3 linked regions of the Arabidopsis thaliana genome follow. The protein of the gene in region 3 interacts with the protein of the main gene of each other region in a pairwise test. Each region holds a gene or a part of one and is shown on either strand. Other genes may lie near its edges.

Region 1 (6,856 bases), on a different chromosome or scaffold from region 3:
CCGAAGTTCTCAAAAATCAAAATTTTAAAACCAAATATATCCAAACTACTCGAAAATACAGAAAATAACTAAAAACCTTGAACACTTTTGTATTCAAATTTACTCAAAAGTAGATTAAATACCTAAAATTATTTTAAGTATCTGAAAATCTAAATATTTTGACGCTTAGATTATTGCAAATATAAATATTAATACGATCAAATGATTCTTCAACTTTTTTTGTTAATCTCCTCATTACTTTTAACAACAAGTCAAGAAATTGCTCGATTTGTTTTGCAATTTCTTGACTTGTCATCACATGTCTCCACAGTTCTCACATGTCATCACACTACTTAGTGTACCACAAAAAATCTGGTAAACCATACTATCATAAGAGGAACCAGGAGAATGGAGACATTTGTCCATGCATCTAGCAAATTAACCAGATACTCATGTTCATCTTCATGTGCCTCATATTCGTGTATTTTTAATACGCGTAGTTAAGCAATATATGATAAGCTAGAATTATAGTTTATTTTACTATATTAATTTTGACTCCACACAATGCGTGGAATACCCCCTAGTAAACTATAAAAAAAAATATGAATAGAAAGACGTAAATCTTTTTGACCTTGAATAAATAAGAAGCTTAACTTAACAAGCATCCAAAATGTATTTTTGTAATCCGTTTAATTTTATCAGAAATATTAAATTTTAAAATTTTATGATTGTGTATCATATTTAAACTAGATTTTAATCCGCGGTATATCGCGGGACGATTTATTTTTTAAAAGTAAGATATATTGAAACTTGCAAATTTTATTCTTATAAAATATTTATATTTTACAGTTTATAATTGTTACCACAATTTTTAGCTTAAAGTTTTATATTTTATAGTTTAATTTTATATATACTAACATTATACATACCACATAACATTTTTGGTTTTATATAATCTTTTCTAAATTAGGATGATTTGATATGTTTAATATTAATGGTCTTAAAAAATAATAAATTAAAGATTTAACCCGTATTGAAACGGTGATTTAATTATATTTTACTTTTTTTATTAATGTTGATTCAAAAACCCGTCCCTCCAAATCCATCTTGCCAAAAAGCCATTTATTTTATTAATATTAATTTTATTTATGATATGACTCTAAATTATAATCTAAACATTTTAGCTAATAACATAGAAGTGCACCATATTTATTTAATAGGGGAATGTACCATATGACCCGAATGCACTTTTACCCAAATCCACCAAAAAAGTCTTGCAAAAATACTATAGAGATAAGAAACGATAGTCGGTTTTGATAGGTATAAGATTAGCAAATATATTAGTTAGCTTAAATTAGTTAAAGAATACAAATTAAAAAGATATATTACACTTTATTCGAATATAGTATAAAAACTTATATAACACAGAGATTTGATAATTTTTTAATTGTTGAATACTTTTTTGTGCTAATTTTTATGTGATTAAGATTTAGTTGATTTCGTATATAAAATATTAAATTGTTTTACGAACTTATTTGTTTATAATTTGGTAACAGATAGATATTTGAATATTCAGTATATTTTGCTTAAGTTTAGGAAATCTTTGATGACCCGTCTTTAAATCAAATAAGCCCTATAATTAAGAGATGAACTAGGATTTAACCCGCGGTTTACCGCGGGCAATCGGTTTATTTGGTTCTTATACTAAATATTTGAATAAATTTGATATCCTAAACTTATAAATATAAATTTTTTAATCAGACATAACTAAATAATAATTGAGATTTTTTTTTGGTTGTTATTTAGTGATAAGAAGAATGTGTTAAAATGTGTTTAATTTTTCTTTTGTTATTTACTTATTTTTGTTGAACGGATTAGATTGAAGTGAATTAAAATTATTGAACGGTTTAGATTGAATCGGATCATATCAAGTTTAGGAGATTGTTAAGACCAAATTACCCTTAATGATTTTGAATAGCAAAGAACAAAATCCAAAATTGAAATCAAAATTGAGGCCAAATTAGACAAAATTTCAATTTGTACTTCCCTTTTAATAATAAGAGGATATTGTCGTTAAAAGATTTTGGTAATTAATGACGTCATTAAAGGATTTTGTTTTTGATTAAATTTTTCTAATGGCATTGTCATGTAATTAACTACAAAAATTAAGGTTAAATTTAAAATGTACTTCCCAAATAATATAGTAGGATACTTGTAATTTGTATCATTTATATGATATTTATATTTATATTTATATTTTATAATTGTCATTAAGTAACGATATACCACATAAGAAGTTTGTTTTGTACAATCTTATATTAATTAGACAGATGTTATATGTCTAACACTAGTGATATTAATAAATAATAAAATAAGAATTTCATCTGTATTAAAGTAGTAGGTTAATGATGTTTTATTTACTTATTAATATTGTTTCAAATCCGTTCCGCCATATAACTCCGTCTCGGAATATAACTCATCGCATATTATTTTAATTTTCCTAATATTATAAACTTTTATTGATTTTAAATACATCAATCATAATATTAATAATAATTTAAATGAAAAATTATAGAAAATAAATCGTGATTGTCAAGTTTTCACTTTTGATAATTTTTTCTTGTAATTAGTCAATTAGTGTTATATTGTGGAGAGTTGAATAGTCTCATTTTGCAATTTTAGAAGATCAAGGGTATATTTCCAAAACATTGCAGTTTTGAGGATTCAACTTGCAATTTACCCTTTTCAAAAATCACTTTCGACAATTACCAAAAACCAGTTCCCCCATTTCATTTCACGCTTTCTTCTCTTCTCATCTCAGAGCTCCGTGATGAAGAAATGGTTAGCAATCGCAGCGACGGTGGCGATAATTGCAATAATCGTTAGACAAGGCACGACACAATACGGATGGAACAAAGAGGCGGCGTTGGAAAAGCTAAAGGAATGGTCAGATCGGCTGGGGATTTGGGCGATTCCAACGTATGTAGCGGTTCACACAATAACCTTAGCTCTTTGTCTCCCTCACGCCGTCTTCTTTGAAGCTGGTGCTTCTATGCTCTTTGGTTTCCTTCCTGCTCTTCTCTGTGTTTTCTCTGCTAAAGTTCTCGCCGCTTCTTTCTCCTTCTGGATCGGCAGGTCTGCTTCTCAATTGCACTGTTATGTGATTCAAATTGATCTGTTGGATCGTTAGTTTGTGTCGCTAATGTACGAATTTGATCGAAATGATTTGGATTTAGAACAATGATTCTCACATGGCTTATCTTGGCTTCGTAGAAAGTATATGATTCATTAGTAATACACTCTGGTTTAGTTTATGTTATCGTGTTTTGTGAATGCTTAAGGTTTTACTTGGAGATGGTTTAGATTTTTCTTTAGTGCACCATTGTTGAAACCTTTTGCAGAACGTTTATTGAAATCCATTAAATTGTAAGCATGAATGATAGGAAGGGAATGTTTGTGTGAAGAAATGGTGTCATTGTTGGTTATTCAGCGGTAAGATAACACCGTTGTTCACCAAAAAGGCGGAGAAGATGCATGATATTTTCTTGCGAGATTTAGATGGATGTCTTCAGATTCTATAATGGTGTTTGGATAAGAGTGGTTGTTGTCTTGTGTATGTGACGGAGATGTAAAGAACCGTTAGATGCTTGTCATTTGCTTGTTAATATATGCTAGGGAATGATTTGCAATATTCACATTTATGCTGGATTTTTACATGGCTTCATAGAAACTATATGCTTCATTAGTAACACTCTGATTTAGTTTAAGTTATCGATTTCTGAGATTTTACTTGGAGATGTAGAATAAACTCTTTTGTTGGTTTTGATTGTCCTGCTATCGCTGAAACCTCCGTATACAGAAGTTTTCACGAAAATCCATTCTACTCTAAGCATTATAGGAAGTGGATCTTTGTGTAAAGAAATGATGTCATTTTGGCTGTTCAGAGGAAAACTAACACCGTTATTCGCCAAAAAGGCGGAGAAGATGCATGTCTTCCTATTCTATAATGGTGTGTGGATGAGATTGGTTGTTTTCTTGTGTATGTGATGGATATGTATGGACTAATTGTTAAATGCATGCTGTGATTCTAATTGCCAATTAATATATGTAGGAGAATGCAACTAGGATGTTGATTAACCTTAGCAATGTGATATGCAGTTTTATTTATTTATCTATCTATTGGGAGCACTTGCATTCTCTCATACTTTTTTGAATTTTCAGGTTTGTTTTTAAGAGTTCCACCAGAGCTACAGGGTGGGCGCATAGCAACAAGTACTTCAATATTCTCTCAAGAGGAGTTGAGCGCGATGGTTGGAAGTTTGTTCTTCTTGCAAGGTTCTCGCCCATTCCTTCCTATGTCATAAACTACGCTTTGGCAGCTACTGAAGTCCGGTTTGTAGCTGATTTTCTGTTCCCCACGGTTATTGGCTGCCTCCCGATGATCCTGCAGAACGCATCAGTCGGTAGCCTCGCTGGTATGGCTGTGGCTTCAGTAGCTGGAAAACAGAAAAGTCAGGTCTGGGGTTATGTTTTCCCAGTACTTGGGATACTGTCAAGTGTTCTGATTTCATTGAGGATCAAAAAGTACTCAGCTGGAATTACAGAGGCATCATCAGATACCTCTGCTAACAACTCTAGTTTAGCTTCATCTGAAACTGCGAATCCCGCTTATGGAACCGATGGATCCAAGAAAAGTGAGTGATTATACAAACCATGATGGTGGTTTTTGATCGCCGGTATTACACTTTGTTTGGTTTGCAGCTATCAGATTCTCAACATCATGGCTTATTTTGGACGAGTTAGGCAGTATCTTAATAGTAACAAAGCATTAGTTTTTGTACTTCTTAAGTTAAAAGCTTAGAACAAAACAACAGTGTTATTTTCTATACCAGACACAAAAACTGTGTCGTTGTAATAACACTTACCATAACATTTTCTTTCAGTGTATGTTTAAAGCCGTTTATATGGTTGAAGCAATGTGACTAAAATTTTTGTAGCATTGAAACAAGCTATATTTGCATTGCTATGGTCTTGTTTTGTGACTAAAAGACTTGGATGCAGAATGGATATAAGTTAAATGTCTGATTTTGTAAATAACTTATGAAGAGAAAATCTTTATTCGGTAAGAGTTGTTTTCTCAATGTAGCAGTTCACTCATCATTTTCAAACTTCAACTCTCAGAGAACACAAAGAGGTTAGACAGTGCAGATGCTTATGGTTGAGAAGCTTTACCTAACAATGGTACAAGGCGGTTTTGTTGGGATCACATGTGAAGTTAGGCACATGGATTCGTTCTTGGAGTTGGTACAAGGACTTCTAAAAGACAACAATGAGGTATAATAAGGACAAGTTGACTATGTCTCTCTCTTTTATCTTAACATTCTAAATTAGGATTTGGTAAACTGAGAGCAGTTAGCTTCTTGAATCTCTAAAGTATAAAAACCCTCACCGTTTTACTACTATCTCATCTTAAAACTCCCAAGTAACAAAAATGGCTATCTCAAAGCTTATTCCTACTCTTGTGCTCTTTGTTTTGTTCTCTTTTGATGTTAGTGTTGCTCATCCAGGTCTAGGATTTGGATGGGGAAGTAATAGTCCCATTGGAGGATCTTTTTACTCAAATCTTTACCCACAATTTTACCAGTTCTCTTGTCCACAAGCTGATGAGATTGTTATGACGGTGCTCGAAAAAGCCATAGCTAAAGAACCAAGAATGGCAGCATCTTTACTCAGACTTCACTTCCACGACTGCTTCGTTCAGGTAAAAGTATCTTTACCTATTTTTGTTTTCCCTTTATGTGTCTCTTAAGCTTAACACTTATACACTACACTCTGTGTGTAAACAGGGCTGTGATGCATCAATCTTGTTGGATGATAGTGCAACCATAAGAAGTGAAAAGAATGCTGGACCAAACAAGAACTCCGTTAGAGGGTTTCAAGTAATCGACGAGATCAAAGCCAAACTTGAGCAAGCTTGTCCTCAAACTGTCTCCTGCGCCGACATTCTAGCTCTAGCTGCTCGTGGCTCAACTATACTGGTAAAATTAAGAGACCTTCAAGAGAAACTATTGGCTCAGTTACAAGTTATATAGCTTATATTTATCGAATTTGTGGTTCAATGCAGAGTGGTGGACCATCATGGGAGCTTCCACTAGGGAGGAGAGACTCGAGGACCGCTAGCCTTAATGGCGCAAACACGAACATTCCTGCACCTAACTCAACTATTCAAAATCTCTTAACCATGTTCCAACGTAAAGGTTTGAACGAAGAAGACCTTGTTTCCCTATCAGGTGAGATTAACATGTATTTATCTTTTGTTTAAGGAGTTGGCAAGGAAACCAAACCGAGACCGGTTTCTTAAAACCGAATGATAACAACGTTTTTAACCAAACCAAAATGTTGCAGGAGGACATACGATTGGAGTAGCGAGGTGCACAACGTTTAAACAAAGACTATACAATCAAAACGGTAATAACCAACCAGACGAGACGCTAGAGAGGTCTTACTACTATGGTCTCAGGTCAATTTGTCCACCAACAGGCGGTGACAACAATATTTCACCTCTAGACTTAGCCTCTCCTGCAAGATTCGACAACACATACTTCAAGCTCCTTCTATGGGGCAAAGGCTTATTGACATCAGATGAAGTGCTTCTCACTGGCAATGTAGGCAAGACTGGTGCATTAGTGAAAGCTTATGCCGAAGACGAGAGACTTTTCTTCCAACAATTCGCAAAGTCGATGGTTAACATGGGAAACATTCAGCCTCTTACTGGTTTTAATGGTGAGATCAGGAAGAGTTGTCATGTGATTAACTAAAGAAACTGTGTGTTTTTGCATTATTATTGTATTAAGGGGTGATTAAGAATAAGTCGTGT
Region 2 (6,702 bases), on a different chromosome or scaffold from region 3:
AAGCATCTCAAACATCTTTTTTTTTTCTGTTAATCGTTATTCAACACAATGTTTTTTAATCTATCGTTGCACTAGTTGTAAAAACGCTATTTTCTTTTAAATCTAATTTAACATTAAATTAAAAAAATAATAATGTAAATGTCAAACCTTTTGTATATATTTTTTTTTTTGTATGAATAAATGTCAAACTTTTTCTTCACGTTTACGTTAAAAGTAGTTTACAAAAAGCTAAAGAGTATTACAATTTTAAAGATATTTTCTTTTGAACATCTCACTTTGCTTGTTGTTTGCATCCAGATGGTGACGCGGCATTAGATTAAACTATGCCTATATGGCATGGTTTATGAATTTTGTGAGAGGTTACTTGTCGGTACATCCTGCATGTTGCTGATTTTAGTAAACTAGGATAGTGATATTTTGAATCGTTGTTTATTGCCTAGACGTCTTTTACGAGTGTTTAGCGATCCATTAAGTTTTCTTTGTCATTTTAGGTATTACAAACTCAAAAGGATGATTTTTTTTACATGTACTCATCTAATAGGATTAATGATTTTATAATACACCTTTAATAAAACAAAAACACAATTCCTGGTCGCTATTAAATTCTCACCAACAAAAATATAAATACACAATCAACCGCAACCAACGAACTTTCTAAATGTTAAAGATTTAACAATTACAATCAGAAGAATGGTTAAAAGAGAGAAGCAGAACTTAATGGATTAATCACAAGGAACAGATGAATCAATAACCCTTTTGTAACTAAACAAATAACCTATTGATTACTTATCAGATTTCTTGCCAAGTTTCATCCATTTGAATCCAAGTATGGCCTTCCCGATACCGCTTTTGCTTCCATCTTCCTTCTTCTTCTTCTTCTTCTTCTTCTTATCGTCTTCGTTACTTGAATTTGGAGGAGGATCAGAGTTGTAATCCCATTGATCAGCCCATGATAGTCCAGAATCCATCTTCTTCGTCTCTCTTTAAGATTTTGTGGAATGAGAAGGTTTAGAAACAAATATGAGGGTGAAAGAAAGATTTTGTTTTACTTATTATAGACAGTATTGGTTTGACACAATGTCTATAAGTTTCTTGGTTGCTTATTTTTGGGGTTTATCTGTTTTTAGTTGTGCCTCTTTGCCCTTTGGTTGGACAAAGAATCAACATCTTTCACCTTTGACTGTGAAAACCCTTCAACAAGAAAAGAACCCCTTACCTGAAACACTTGAATTTTTTTGAGTAATCAAAAACTATACGCTTCAACGGTTCAACCTAATTTCTCTTTTACATTTTATTCAACATTTTCAAAGGATAGTTGAGTAGATTAATTACTGTTGATAAAAAACGACATACAATTTTTTTTGTCACGCTTTGAAATTATATTATTACGCTTGTTTCGTTTTGTGACATTGTACTACCAACAATAATTGTTTTTTATAGTCAACCATATCATTAATCGGAGCGGTCCCTTGATTCGTTCGAGCGACCCTCTAATCAATTGGGAATACTGTGACAAATAACCATGCATTTATGCTTCAACAATTTTAGTTTTCCTTCATAAATATCACGGGATGCAAGTGACGCTAAGCATAAATAGTTCGTCTGTTTCATTGACTTTGTAATAGAAGATGAAAAAAGAAAATATATAGATATTTATCTTCCTTTTGATGTCATGACGTTTCGTGATTTTGATTTACAGTGTCAAAAAGAGAGATTACGCTAGCGAAACGTCACTACGACCAAGATTTAGTTGGAGTATTTATACTCTGATCATTCTCAATTTCTCATCATCGACATTACAAATATGCAAAATTAACAAAAAATAATAATATATACAACTCATCACCTTATATATCTAAGAGCGTTTTGTCTAACTAATAATATGTTAGCATTTTTATGCCACTATTAGTAATTTAATAATATAGTTATTGCTTAAATATATAGATTTTTAACATATTTTCTCTTAGATATATATATATATATATATATATATATATATATATATATATATATATATCAAGATATAAATAAATTCTACTAAAAGAAAAACAAAAAAACAGCTAATTTTTTGTCGGTCAACTCAAAATAATCATTAAATGAGAAAGATATATTTATCTATCGAATAAATATTATTTTATTTTTTAAAAGCGAAACACTCGTTAGATCAGGTGACCATGAAAAGAAAAATTCAGCTCTATCCAAAAAAGAAAATAAATCATGCAAATACAGGGAGAAAAAAGTACGAAATTACAAAAAAAAGCCATGTCAATGTAAAGAGAATCATTGAATCAAGAAGAACGATTGGGGGTAAATTAGTATTTAAATTGGTCTAAGCATGAAACAGCTTCCAGCCGATGGTGCCTTATGCCTCGGGCAAAAAAAAAGACCAAACACACTAAACAAAACTACCAAACAAACTAACAAACATTCCCTTCAAATTCGGAAAAGTCAGAATCTCATCACCTATTTATTACACTCTCATAAACGCTAACAAATCGTTGAATAGAATAATTAAGCAGGTAAAATCCTAAACCGTCAGAGAATATCTATCCTCCTCTTAAATATCACTCTTATCTTTATCCTCCTAAAATCTTCTTAATTGTATCTAATCTCTTTCTCAAAAACCAAACACTATCTCTCGATTATATCACAAGGAGATATGGGGAACAGTGAAATGTCAGCGAGTGAGGTTGCGGCGGCCAAGCAGAAGAACGTCGACGATTGGTTACCGATCACATCTTCCAGAAACGCTAAGTGGTGGTACTCTGCTTTTCACAATGTCACCGCCATGGTTGGTGCTGGTGTTCTTAGCTTGCCCTACGCTATGTCCAATCTCGGATGGTATACTAATTTGTTGAATCTGATAATCTTAATCTCCTTTATGTTTTAATCCATGATCTGATCTGAGTTTTTGATGTATTACAGGGGACCTGGAGTGACGATTATGGTGATGTCATGGATCATAACGTTGTACACACTGTGGCAAATGGTGGAGATGCATGAGATTGTTCCAGGGAAGAGGCTTGATAGGTATCACGAGCTAGGTCAACACGCTTTTGGTGAAAAGCTTGGCCTATGGATCGTCGTGCCGCAGCAGCTTATCGTGGAGGTCGGTGTTGACATCGTTTATATGGTCACAGGAGGAGCATCCCTCAAGAAAGTCCATCAACTAGTCTGTCCCGATTGCAAAGAGATCAGAACTACGTTTTGGATCATGATCTTTGCTTCCGTCCACTTTGTTATCTCTCACCTTCCCAATTTCAACTCTATCTCCATCATCTCACTTGCCGCGGCTGTTATGTCCTTAACGTAAATCTCTTCAACACACATATATTGGTTTTACTTTATAACTTGAACAGAAAGTTAGAATAATTAACCTAGAGCATGCCTTGTGGTTCAAGGCTAGGGATCAAAATTGTTGTATATTTTCCGGTTATTAGAAGAAAAACTTAGCATAATCCCAAAATATGTAGAAAACTAGGTTTTATTGCCTGATGATTTTTATGATCTGTACAGTTACTCAACTATTGCTTGGGCTGCATCCGTGCACAAAGGGGTACATCCAGATGTGGACTACTCTCCTAGAGCATCAACCGATGTTGGAAAAGTATTCAACTTCTTGAATGCGTTGGGAGATGTGGCTTTTGCTTATGCAGGTCACAACGTTGTGTTGGAGATTCAGGCCACAATCCCTTCGACTCCGGAGATGCCATCCAAGGTCCCAATGTGGAGAGGAGTTATTGTAGCCTACATTGTAGTCGCCATCTGTTACTTCCCTGTAGCATTCCTCGGCTATTATATCTTTGGAAACAGCGTTGATGACAACATCCTCATCACTTTGGAGAAGCCTATCTGGCTTATTGCTATGGCTAACATGTTCGTGGTTATCCATGTCATTGGAAGCTATCAGGTATTCTTCCACATTCTAGTACTTCTATATTTTTGATTGAAGTAAGAATTATTTCATGAATATTGACACCTTTGTGTGGATTCAGATATTTGCAATGCCAGTTTTTGACATGCTCGAAACCGTTTTGGTCAAAAAGATGAATTTCAATCCTTCTTTCAAGCTCCGCTTCATTACTCGTAGTCTTTACGTCGGTAAGAACCCACTCCTCATTTATACATATGTAACGTCATCCTCCTACTCCATTCATTAATTAATCTCATTTTCATCAATGTACATTGGACCGTGCAGCTTTCACGATGATTGTTGCGATATGCGTCCCGTTTTTCGGTGGACTACTCGGCTTCTTTGGAGGATTCGCCTTTGCCCCAACAACTTACTACGTATAGTACAAATAATCCCTTCATTTCTTTATTGGTTTATCCATAGATTAAAGTTGTGAATTTATATACACATATTAATTTGTAACTGCAGCTTCCATGCATTATGTGGCTCGTTCTCAAGAAACCAAAGAGGTTTGGTCTATCTTGGACAGCTAACTGGGTATGTTCTTTAGTAATCAATGGTACATAATCTATAGCTCTTGTTTTCTTGTAAAGTAACAATTTTTGTGTTTTGGTTTGTTGGTGTTGTGGATTATGAAAAAATACAGTTCTGCATCATAGTAGGAGTTCTTTTGACGATCCTTGCCCCAATTGGAGGACTCAGAACCATCATTATCAACGCCAAGACCTACAAGTTCTTCTCTTAGATGGATCACTTTTTTTTGTAACCGCGCAACCGAAAAATAAAATCACGGCATGTCTAATTTTATGTGACTGTCCGTTTAAGTAAATTTTATGTTTTCATTGTAGTTAAGACAATTATCTTTGGTTTCTTTTGATAATAAACTCTTTTTCAAATAATTAATCTCCATGATCTGGTTCTTCTAATGTTGTGATTTCGTAATTTATGCAAGAACGTACACGGGAATTTTATGACACGTCTAGATGCAATGTTACCATGGTCAGCACGACACTGCGTTTTGTTTTTCTTTATGGTTTATGGATACATTTACATTAGATGATTTGGATCTGTGGTTAGATTTAATCTTAATCACGGGGTTTTCACCTGTCAACAATATGACATGACTTGAAAACGAATTTATACTTTCCAGTACAGCATGCATGAGTGATGAGAATAATTTAATAGCTTCGTTTATTATTTTGGCTTTTCAAATATCTTGATTTATACGTTGTTTTTGTTGATACGTGAACCTGTGATTCTGGTCGTAACTCGTAACGCCACATGTACCCTTTTGTGGAGAGTTTACTTGTAAACGGCAGACCAAGAACAAAATGTCCTTTCATCAATTTCTATCTAATAGAGAAATCGGCAATTTTGGTTATAAAGCTCTTTGATGAGTCTTCTCCTTGTCCTGCCTTAATTATCCTTTATGCTAGGCTCGGCTTCATCGTTACAATTTGCTCCGATCCAGCTTTGATTAAACTCGCTCTATATGTACATGATCTTCTTGTTTCTTTGTCTATGCATGTATTTTGTCATACAATTCTTTCTTGATTAATATTAGGAGAAAAACATAGAGCTCAGTAGTATAAGTATATACAACCAGTCCACGCATTCTGCTGCTTCCTCTTACCACATTACTTTGGACACCATGGATCTCACCGCTCTTCAACCTTTTGAGACTACAGTTTATGACATATCATATGGCAAATTAGCTTTATCGTGCCGTATTGCTAGACCTCTAAGTCATTACGAGACTTTTGTAGTGGTGCTTATACAACAAGCAAGCCATCTTACTAAATGATCATCATTGATGTAGTTAAATTCTTATTAAATTAGAGAATTATTTTTGTTTGTATAGTTAAATGTTACAATATAGTTTTAAAATATTATTATGTTAAAATTTTACCTTGAATTAACACAAAACAAATTAAAATTTTGATTTTGAGATATAGTGAAATAGGATAGGAAAATAGTTATTTTCAGGAAGAGAAATTGTGGACGGTACATTTAAATAAATTAATATAATTAATTAAAGAAGCAACAATTATGGTACAAAAAACTAAAGTTGGAAAAAATTCTTATAAAATACATGATATATCTAATGACTAATTTTAGTCAAACTACAACTAATGAAAAGTACATGTGTTATTAAAATAGAATGTCAAACACCACATTATTAGACATAGTTTAGAAAAATGCTTGTTATATTATATATATAAAAAGATTTAATCTATGGAGTACCTTTTTTTTTTCTCGGGATATCATGACATTTCTAAATTGAAGTTAAAATACATCTCCCCCTCTCTTGGTATGCCAAATTGTTTAACAAACGACAATGCATATCTCATTACAAATGCCTAGCAACTATGAGACAACACTCCATCATTTATATCTGCATCTTTAGGGAGATTCATTCCATAACGCCTATCAACAAATTCGCGCACAGGTAACGTGAGCACAATGAAATAAACTCTTCCTCACATCCATGCAAAACTAAGAAACACTAACCATGTCGCATGATGTGTATGCCCCACACAGCAAATGATAACGTTTTGGTTTTGAACCTATACTATTATTTTAGAAGTACAACATAAATTGTAACATTGAGAAATGTAACAAATTATATTAGATTACAATTTAAAGAAAATATAATCATAGACGAAATTAATCCACATCATTAAGGTTATGACCTACTTCTTAATACTGCGGGTCAATTGGTCACCAAACAGGTTTTCAAATATCACCTAAACAATAATATCAACTAATTGTGTACAGTAAAACCTCTA
Region 3 (6,786 bases):
ATACGTATTAACCACATAATCAAGTTTAAAACCACAAGGACTCTTAAACCGGAAATTATTTCAAAATCAACAATGACACGTTGTGTTGGTTTGGTTAACCGTGGAACAGAAGAAGAGGAGAAACAAGAAGCAAACGAACCTGAACACGATGGCGAGGGAAGTAGTGAAGAAGACGGCGAAGATGATCTGTTCGAGATAAACCTGGAGGCCGTCAGTGATACGGCCACATCTCCACCGTATGATTGCCAGAGATTACCGGCGAGAACAGGTAGCGTTTTACTGGCCAACTGTCTATTACCAGCTGCCGAAATCTCTAATGCCGTACCGGCAACATCAAGAGGTTGGAGTGATTTGGTTTGGTCTAGAGGGGTTCTCTATGTTGATAATCAAAGAATTGAGAGTAAGAATACTTAATCAGATGTATATCTTACAATTTTACCTTGAAACACAAATACGTATCTTATAGACACTTGAGAGATAATCTTGTCAATATATGCAAGTGTTACGAGTGTTTAATCAGATGGTTTATCACTATCTGGATATCATGGAAGAACTAGGTGAGTATGAGTATATATGGTTTCCTTTGACAAGATCCTGGTAAGGGAGAGACCAAGCCGCCTAAAAGTTTGGTTTCAATTGAGTCCAAGGATCGAAATTGTAGGGTATGTCTTAAGTACATCCACCAGATATATCAGAAATTTTACATCTTTACATTGTATGTTTAAAACAATTGCCTACTCCCCTTTGAGTCAATTTGGATTCTAAAGAAAAGGTGGAACACAAAAATGGTTCCCTCGGAACGAGTGTTGCAACACGAAAATATAGAGATCATTTCTAACACCAGTTCTACTGAATGTTTTAGGAGAAGGTAAAGCTGACAAATACTATGCTCACTCAATTGGACATAGCTGATTCTTCTCGACACATTAAAACAAATTCCATCTAAGAGAGTATGAATTGCGGATAAATCTCTCTCTAATTTCCGTGACACAGCAAATACTATCAGGAAAAGTAAGTGCAGTTCTGGGATTGACAGTAGAAGACGAACCTGAAGCCAAGATCCCATGTCCCTACTTATCTATGCCACCTAATCAGGGAACATACCAACACCGAGCAAACCACTAAATACTAATCACTCTTTCATTAGACTATGCCTAAGTTTCCAACAGCTCTAAAACCAACTCAAAATTCTACTCTACCTACATGGAGCCATACTTTAAGCAAATCTAATGCCAATCATTCCTAAAACTTGGGACCTTTAAGTATAATCCAAGCAAGAAGTCAGCACATCTTCATAGCCTCACACCGGGAAAGTAAATAGCAAAATAAACATGAAATAGGAAGCATATAAACCTCTTCTGCATTAGTACAGAAGCATATCATCCGCAACATCAATTCCAATACTCTCACAAATCTAATGTCCAGGAACAAACTATGTCAAAAGACATATCGACCAAATTGTATAAATAATTCTTAAGTAAGAACCTTAAAGATCAAGTGACAGATACAAACATTGAATCAAATTTCTTAAACACCTTTCTAAATTTATCCAAAAAAGCCTTTACACACCGTGCTATTCCCACCCAATTCAACCTCACATCAAAGAACTTATATTGCAGCCTTTTTTTGCTACTTGCTAACACAGCATCGGAAGTGATTCACGATCTATCAATATGGAATCAAAATATAACAAGAAGAGAGAAGAGAGTATAGATCAAGAAACAAGCGTACGCGATCAAGCCACGGTGCTCTTCTCCACCATCAGCAAGAGATACCACCAATGTAGAGCAGGCTCTAGTGGACCACAACACAAACAAAGCCGCAAGCACAAACCGAACCGGCCCTGCTCCCTGGGGAACGAACAATGACACCGCCGATAAAACCACCACCGGAAGCAAACAGTATCCGACCAAGCTCGTACACGTATGGAGATTAAGGTTCCCATTTCTACCAGCAAGCATGTTAAAGACGACGTATAGAAAGATAGAGGAGACGACGATCCATCCAAGTATGACACCGAACTGGATCTTACCAGCTAACAACTGAAATAAGCAAAGCGCAAGGTACAGAAAGATCGGACCAGATAGATCTGAATCTTTGTGAACAGCTTGGTTAATCCGAAAAGGATTGAGAATCGATCTAGTCTTCTTCCAGATTTGATCTGGATGGATACCGAGCTCGTCGAGTAATGGCTCCTCATCTTCAAACGAAGCTGAACCTCCACCAAAAGAAGAAGAGGAAGCGATTGTCCCGCCGAATGGTCCGGCAGGTGTAGCGGAAGACGCGGCTGCGGATCCAATGTCGAATGACATGAAAGGGATTGCGGAAGAAGAGGGACGCGGCGGTTGAAACGGTGTCGCTGGGAATCTTCGTTGCTGGACATTAGCACCGCCTGAAGATCCACCGGAGGGGAAAACTACAGGTGGAACTGCGAAATCCTTCGTCATCTTCTTTCCGAAATTGAGATCTCACCAAATCAGCAAAGAGATTCGAAATTAGGGTTTCAAGTTTGGATCAATGAGATGAATTTTTTAACCCAATTCACACGTTCGTGACGTTTCAGAGAAAATTCCTTTCTTTTTTTTGTTCTCTTCTTCTTCTTGACAGTGAAGAGACAACTTTAGAAGAAGGCATCTGAGGGTAGTTTCGTCATTCCGTCTAGTTAATGACGAAATATAACCAATAGGCTTCTTCGAAACTGGCATGGTGACGTATATCTTCTGATGATATTACCGTTATACCCTCTTTTATAAACGAAATTGGCCCAATGGGTCTGTTCGGCCCAGTAGTCATCCGTTTTAGTCTATAACGTGGCACGATGTAATTGGTTAAAGATTAGAAGACCGCCGGACTAAGATTTAACCAGCGGTGACTTCGACACTTATTAGCCGGTATATTTCTTCGCCGGAGCTTCCTCAACGATTATGGCCACCGATGGCGAGAGTATCTCGATGTCGTTGGCGGTGGCTACCTGCGTCGCGATGGCACTATTCTACGTTTTGATCCTTTACGTTCCCACCGTGATACTCCGTCTCCCGTCGGCTTCTTCTTACACCGAATTCATGATTCGGCGATTCATCTGCGCGGCCATTTGTACTGTAGCATCTCTCGTCTTCACAGCTTTTATACTTCCGGTAAGCTTCTTTGAGTACCGCCATTTCTCGATTTGAAGTTCATTCTCCGTTGATCTGTAACCAAATTAGGTCCAAATCTAGATGCATTTGGTGTTTTGATGAAAGTTAAACTAAAAGTAAAGAAATTTGATGTATTTGTAACTTTGTTGAGAGTTGAATTAGCTTTTACTAGTTGTTGTAGGTTCACACAATTTGTCTCTAAGAATGTAACACTCAAATATTGGTGACTATGTTGTGTTTGGTACAATTCAACGCTAGTTACAGGAATCTCTGAAACTTGTCTTCCTTTTTTGCTTGAGTAATGTTAGATAAAAAGCTGGGAGGCCTCTTATATACTTGGAGTTTATGGCATAAGGAAAGATCATCTGGTAAGTTCTTTGTCTCAATTTGTTTACTCGTAGCTTATTGTACACTATTCATATTAAAATGGTTATGTTTTGTGATATGGAACAGTGGCAAGGAGTGGTGTATCCTCTTCTATTGACCTCGCTCGTTTATGCTGGGTCTTTGGTGTTGAAGTTGTTTACTCTCCTGGAATCATGGAAGGAAAATGGCGGAGGATGTAGTTCCTTTAATTACATCAGAAGCTTTTTCCAAACAATCCCTGCTTCGGTATTGACAAGTGCTTCTAATGTTTCCGTTTGGCGCAATTTTATCGTGGTAATCATATGTTTGCCATCTCTGTGTGCTTATCTTGTCAATTCTTTATTGAAATTGCATAAGGCATTGCTTGCTAATTGTCTGAGGACTATATGCATCAGTTTGGTGTATAAGTAAGTTCTAAATCGAACAAGTTATAATCTGTTAGAGCTGGCGTTTCTTATGATTTGCAGGCACCAGTAACTGAGGAGCTGGTTTTCCGATCATGTATGATACCTTTGCTTCTGTGTGCTGGGTTTAGGATTAACACTGCCATCTTTCTGTGCCCAGTTCTCTTTAGCTTGGGTTTGTTTCTTTCTCTCTCTCTCTCTCTCTGTGAATAACAGTTTACAACTCGAGTGAAAAGAAAATTACTGGATTTGTCTGACTTTTATATGTTTTGTGTAGCTCACTTAAACCATTTTAGAGAGATGTACATCAGGCATAACCGCAGCTATCTCCGGGCTTCACTTATTGTTGGTATGTCTTTGCCATCCATAATCATAATAATATTGTTTGTTGATCAGTCCTGAGCTTCACTTGTCCGTTGATCAGGTCTTCAGCTTGGCTACACAGTCATTTTTGGTGCATATGCATCGTTTCTCTTCATCAGAACCGGTAACATTCCAGGCATTTATATATCTTATACATGTAAAAGCCTTTCTAATGGATGATTGTCTCCTGCATTGTGTAAATTTTACAGGACATCTTGCTGCTCCTTTGTTTGCTCATATATTTTGCAACTACATGGGATTGCCTGTGCTATACGCAAATGGAAAAGGTAAGACATAAAGTTCAAGGTTGTTAACAAATGCAAATGCAAAAGAATAAGCTAAACATGGTTATGGTTCTTCTCTCAGGTTTGGTGAGTGCAGCGTTCTTAGGCGGTGTGGTTGGGTTCGTCTTACTTCTCTTTCCTTTAACAAAGCCTCTCATGTACAACGATAGTACCAACGATTGTCCGTGTTGGCTTGGCTATTGTTTGTGGAATTGACACTTCTCCAAGTTTTTTTTTATATATCATCATGTCTTAGAATCTATTTTTTGACACAATATTGGAATTATGGTCTTTTACTGCAAGCTAATGTTTCTTGATAGTTTATGTAGTTTTTTCCTTGTAAATATATAATAATAATAATAATTGGTTCAAGTCTCCAAAATTAGTGTTGGCTAATTGTCCATTTTTTTCCGGTATTATCCCTAATGATTCTCTTGCTATCCTAGGAGGGACAGGAAGAAGGATGATCTACATCCCCAAGTCTAACCTAAACTATATTGTCCAATGTCAACACGCCAAAATTCATTTGATTTATATATAAAAATAGAGAAACAATGATTAGAAATTGAACATAGGTCCATAATCTTACATCAGAGATTCAGAAGATGATGTCTTGCTTGATGATCATCCAAAGAGATTTTGGGGGTAATCATCAAACGGATATAATTTTCTGAAAATTATATTTCAAAGTTGACTTTCAAAGTCTGAGTTTATGATGATGATTTTCACTTAGGAGTTACGAAAATTATGTTTCTAGGATTCGTAGGTCTCTCAGTAATTTTCTCACCACCACTTGATTACTATGTCATATTCCTACGAAATTTGAAGCTTGGATAGTTGAATTTATGGTCAATAAATTATCTGTACACTACACATATATTGTGTTTGTGTGAAGTAAACGGTGATTTAACGGGAGAGGATCTCTTCATAAAGAAGATGTGGTTGATTATGCTTGCATATAACAGAATTTGTTGAACCGGAAAATCATCCTCGACAAAACCAATATGCAGTAATCTACTCTAAAATGTATTTTACCCAAACTATACACTACTACTATCTAGTGAGATTCATTACTATTGTTTATGTGGATAGTTTTAAAAAGATGAAGACCAATACTATTATGATCTATTCATAAATCCTATTCTTATTTTATAGTTGTAAGTTGAGCTTTTATAATAGAGAGCATAAATATTGCTGGTATTTGAACTAATACAAACCGTTAAAAAAAGGGAACTAATACAAAAAGAAAAATCAACTAAATTTTCACTAATACTAAAAATTTGCAAAATTATGTTAATTTACGTTTATTTATTTATATTATAAATAAGTGAGTAAAATTCAAAATATTTATTTACCTTACATTTTAAATTTATCATCGCAAAATACACCACAAAATTTCATTAAGAAATATTTGTTTTTTTGTAAAGGAGGTAATAAATGACGTTTTAATATGATACAGTCAATAGGATACAACTTTGATCACGTGATTTAAAATTGGTGGTAAACCTATGTTCTCCTAAACACTTTTTCGTATCTTCTGATATCCTTATGGACCTTATCACTACTTTATCCATATATAAATTTCAATAATTAAAAGAAAACAACCACTTTACAAATTTGTTAATATCAATTACATGGTACCTTGAAAATAAATCTGGTCGAGATTAGAAAACTCTTAACTAACATAACTGAATAATAAAAGTCACATTTTCCAATCTTATTGTTCACAATTTGTTATTTCAAGACCATGAAATTTATAAAAGATAAAGGAAAATGTAGAACCCAATAATAAAAGAGATAAATAAATAATTTAAAGATACTGGTTGTTTAAGAGAAGAGCAGAAGGTACAATGTAGTCCCAGAATCCACCATGTCCTAAACAACCAAACCCCACATGAAAAGGCAAAATAGAAAATCTAATTAACATATAAATGGAAACAAAAGTAAAATATCCCTCAGAAGATAGGCCAGAGAGCATACAACACTCTGTCCTTTTTGTAGTAATTTAATTAGAAGAACCCAACAAAAATATAAAAACTACTCCATAATTAATAATACTACCACTAACCACTATTACTTAGCTAATTTTTCTTACATTACACCAATAAAATAAAAAATAAAAATGATGGGTTCTCCTAATTATCCGAATCCAAGTCTTGTCCTAAAGAGTTTTGTTGCATCAGGATTATCCAGAAGCAGAGCTTGATGAAGAGAGGTTGTTGTTGTTGTTGTTGT

Evidence for each region.
Region 1: the proteins of FACE2 (region 3) and AT1G44960 interact in a protein complementation assay, tested with the Arabidopsis thaliana proteins (one large-scale study listed by BioGRID).
Region 2: the proteins of FACE2 (region 3) and LHT2 interact in a protein complementation assay, tested with the Arabidopsis thaliana proteins (one large-scale study listed by BioGRID).

Annotation. Positions count from the first base shown.
Region 1 is NC_003070.9:16,996,767-17,003,622, forward strand, and holds AT1G44960 (SNARE associated Golgi protein family), read left to right. Parts: upstream 1-2,679; 5' UTR 2,680-2,809; coding exon 2,810-3,114; intron 3,115-4,200; coding exon 4,201-4,681; 3' UTR 4,682-4,968; downstream 4,969-6,856. Other genes in the region: AT1G44970 (Peroxidase superfamily protein), read left to right, coding at 5,471-5,740, 5,826-6,017, 6,104-6,269, 6,385-6,797.
Region 2 is NC_003070.9:8,649,519-8,656,220, reverse strand, and holds LHT2 (lysine histidine transporter 2), read left to right. Parts: upstream 1-2,305; 5' UTR 2,306-2,659; coding exon 2,660-2,841; intron 2,842-2,925; coding exon 2,926-3,309; intron 3,310-3,516; coding exon 3,517-3,910; intron 3,911-3,995; coding exon 3,996-4,101; intron 4,102-4,198; coding exon 4,199-4,290; intron 4,291-4,381; coding exon 4,382-4,450; intron 4,451-4,559; coding exon 4,560-4,658; 3' UTR 4,659-4,814; downstream 4,815-6,702. Other genes in the region: AT1G24405 (uncharacterized protein), read right to left, coding at 783-968. UniProt on the Arabidopsis thaliana protein: Amino acid-proton symporter. Transporter with a broad specificity for neutral and acidic amino acids. Basic amino acids are only marginally transported.
Region 3 is NC_003071.7:15,211,683-15,218,468, forward strand, and holds FACE2 (farnesylated protein-converting enzyme 2), read left to right. Parts: upstream 1-2,703; 5' UTR 2,704-2,924; coding exon 2,925-3,134; intron 3,135-3,442; coding exon 3,443-3,502; intron 3,503-3,587; coding exon 3,588-3,794; intron 3,795-3,967; coding exon 3,968-4,079; intron 4,080-4,181; coding exon 4,182-4,253; intron 4,254-4,328; coding exon 4,329-4,391; coding exon of another isoform or gene 4,392-4,447; exon of another isoform or gene 4,448-4,476; coding exon 4,477-4,554; intron 4,555-4,633; coding exon 4,634-4,767; 3' UTR 4,768-4,931; downstream 4,932-6,786. Other genes in the region: AT2G36295 (uncharacterized protein), read left to right, coding at 73-414; AT2G36300 (Integral membrane Yip1 family protein), read right to left, coding at 1,680-2,447. UniProt on the Arabidopsis thaliana protein: Protease involved in the processing of a variety of prenylated proteins containing the C-terminal CAAX motif, where C is a cysteine modified with an isoprenoid lipid, A is an aliphatic amino acid and X is any C-terminal amino acid.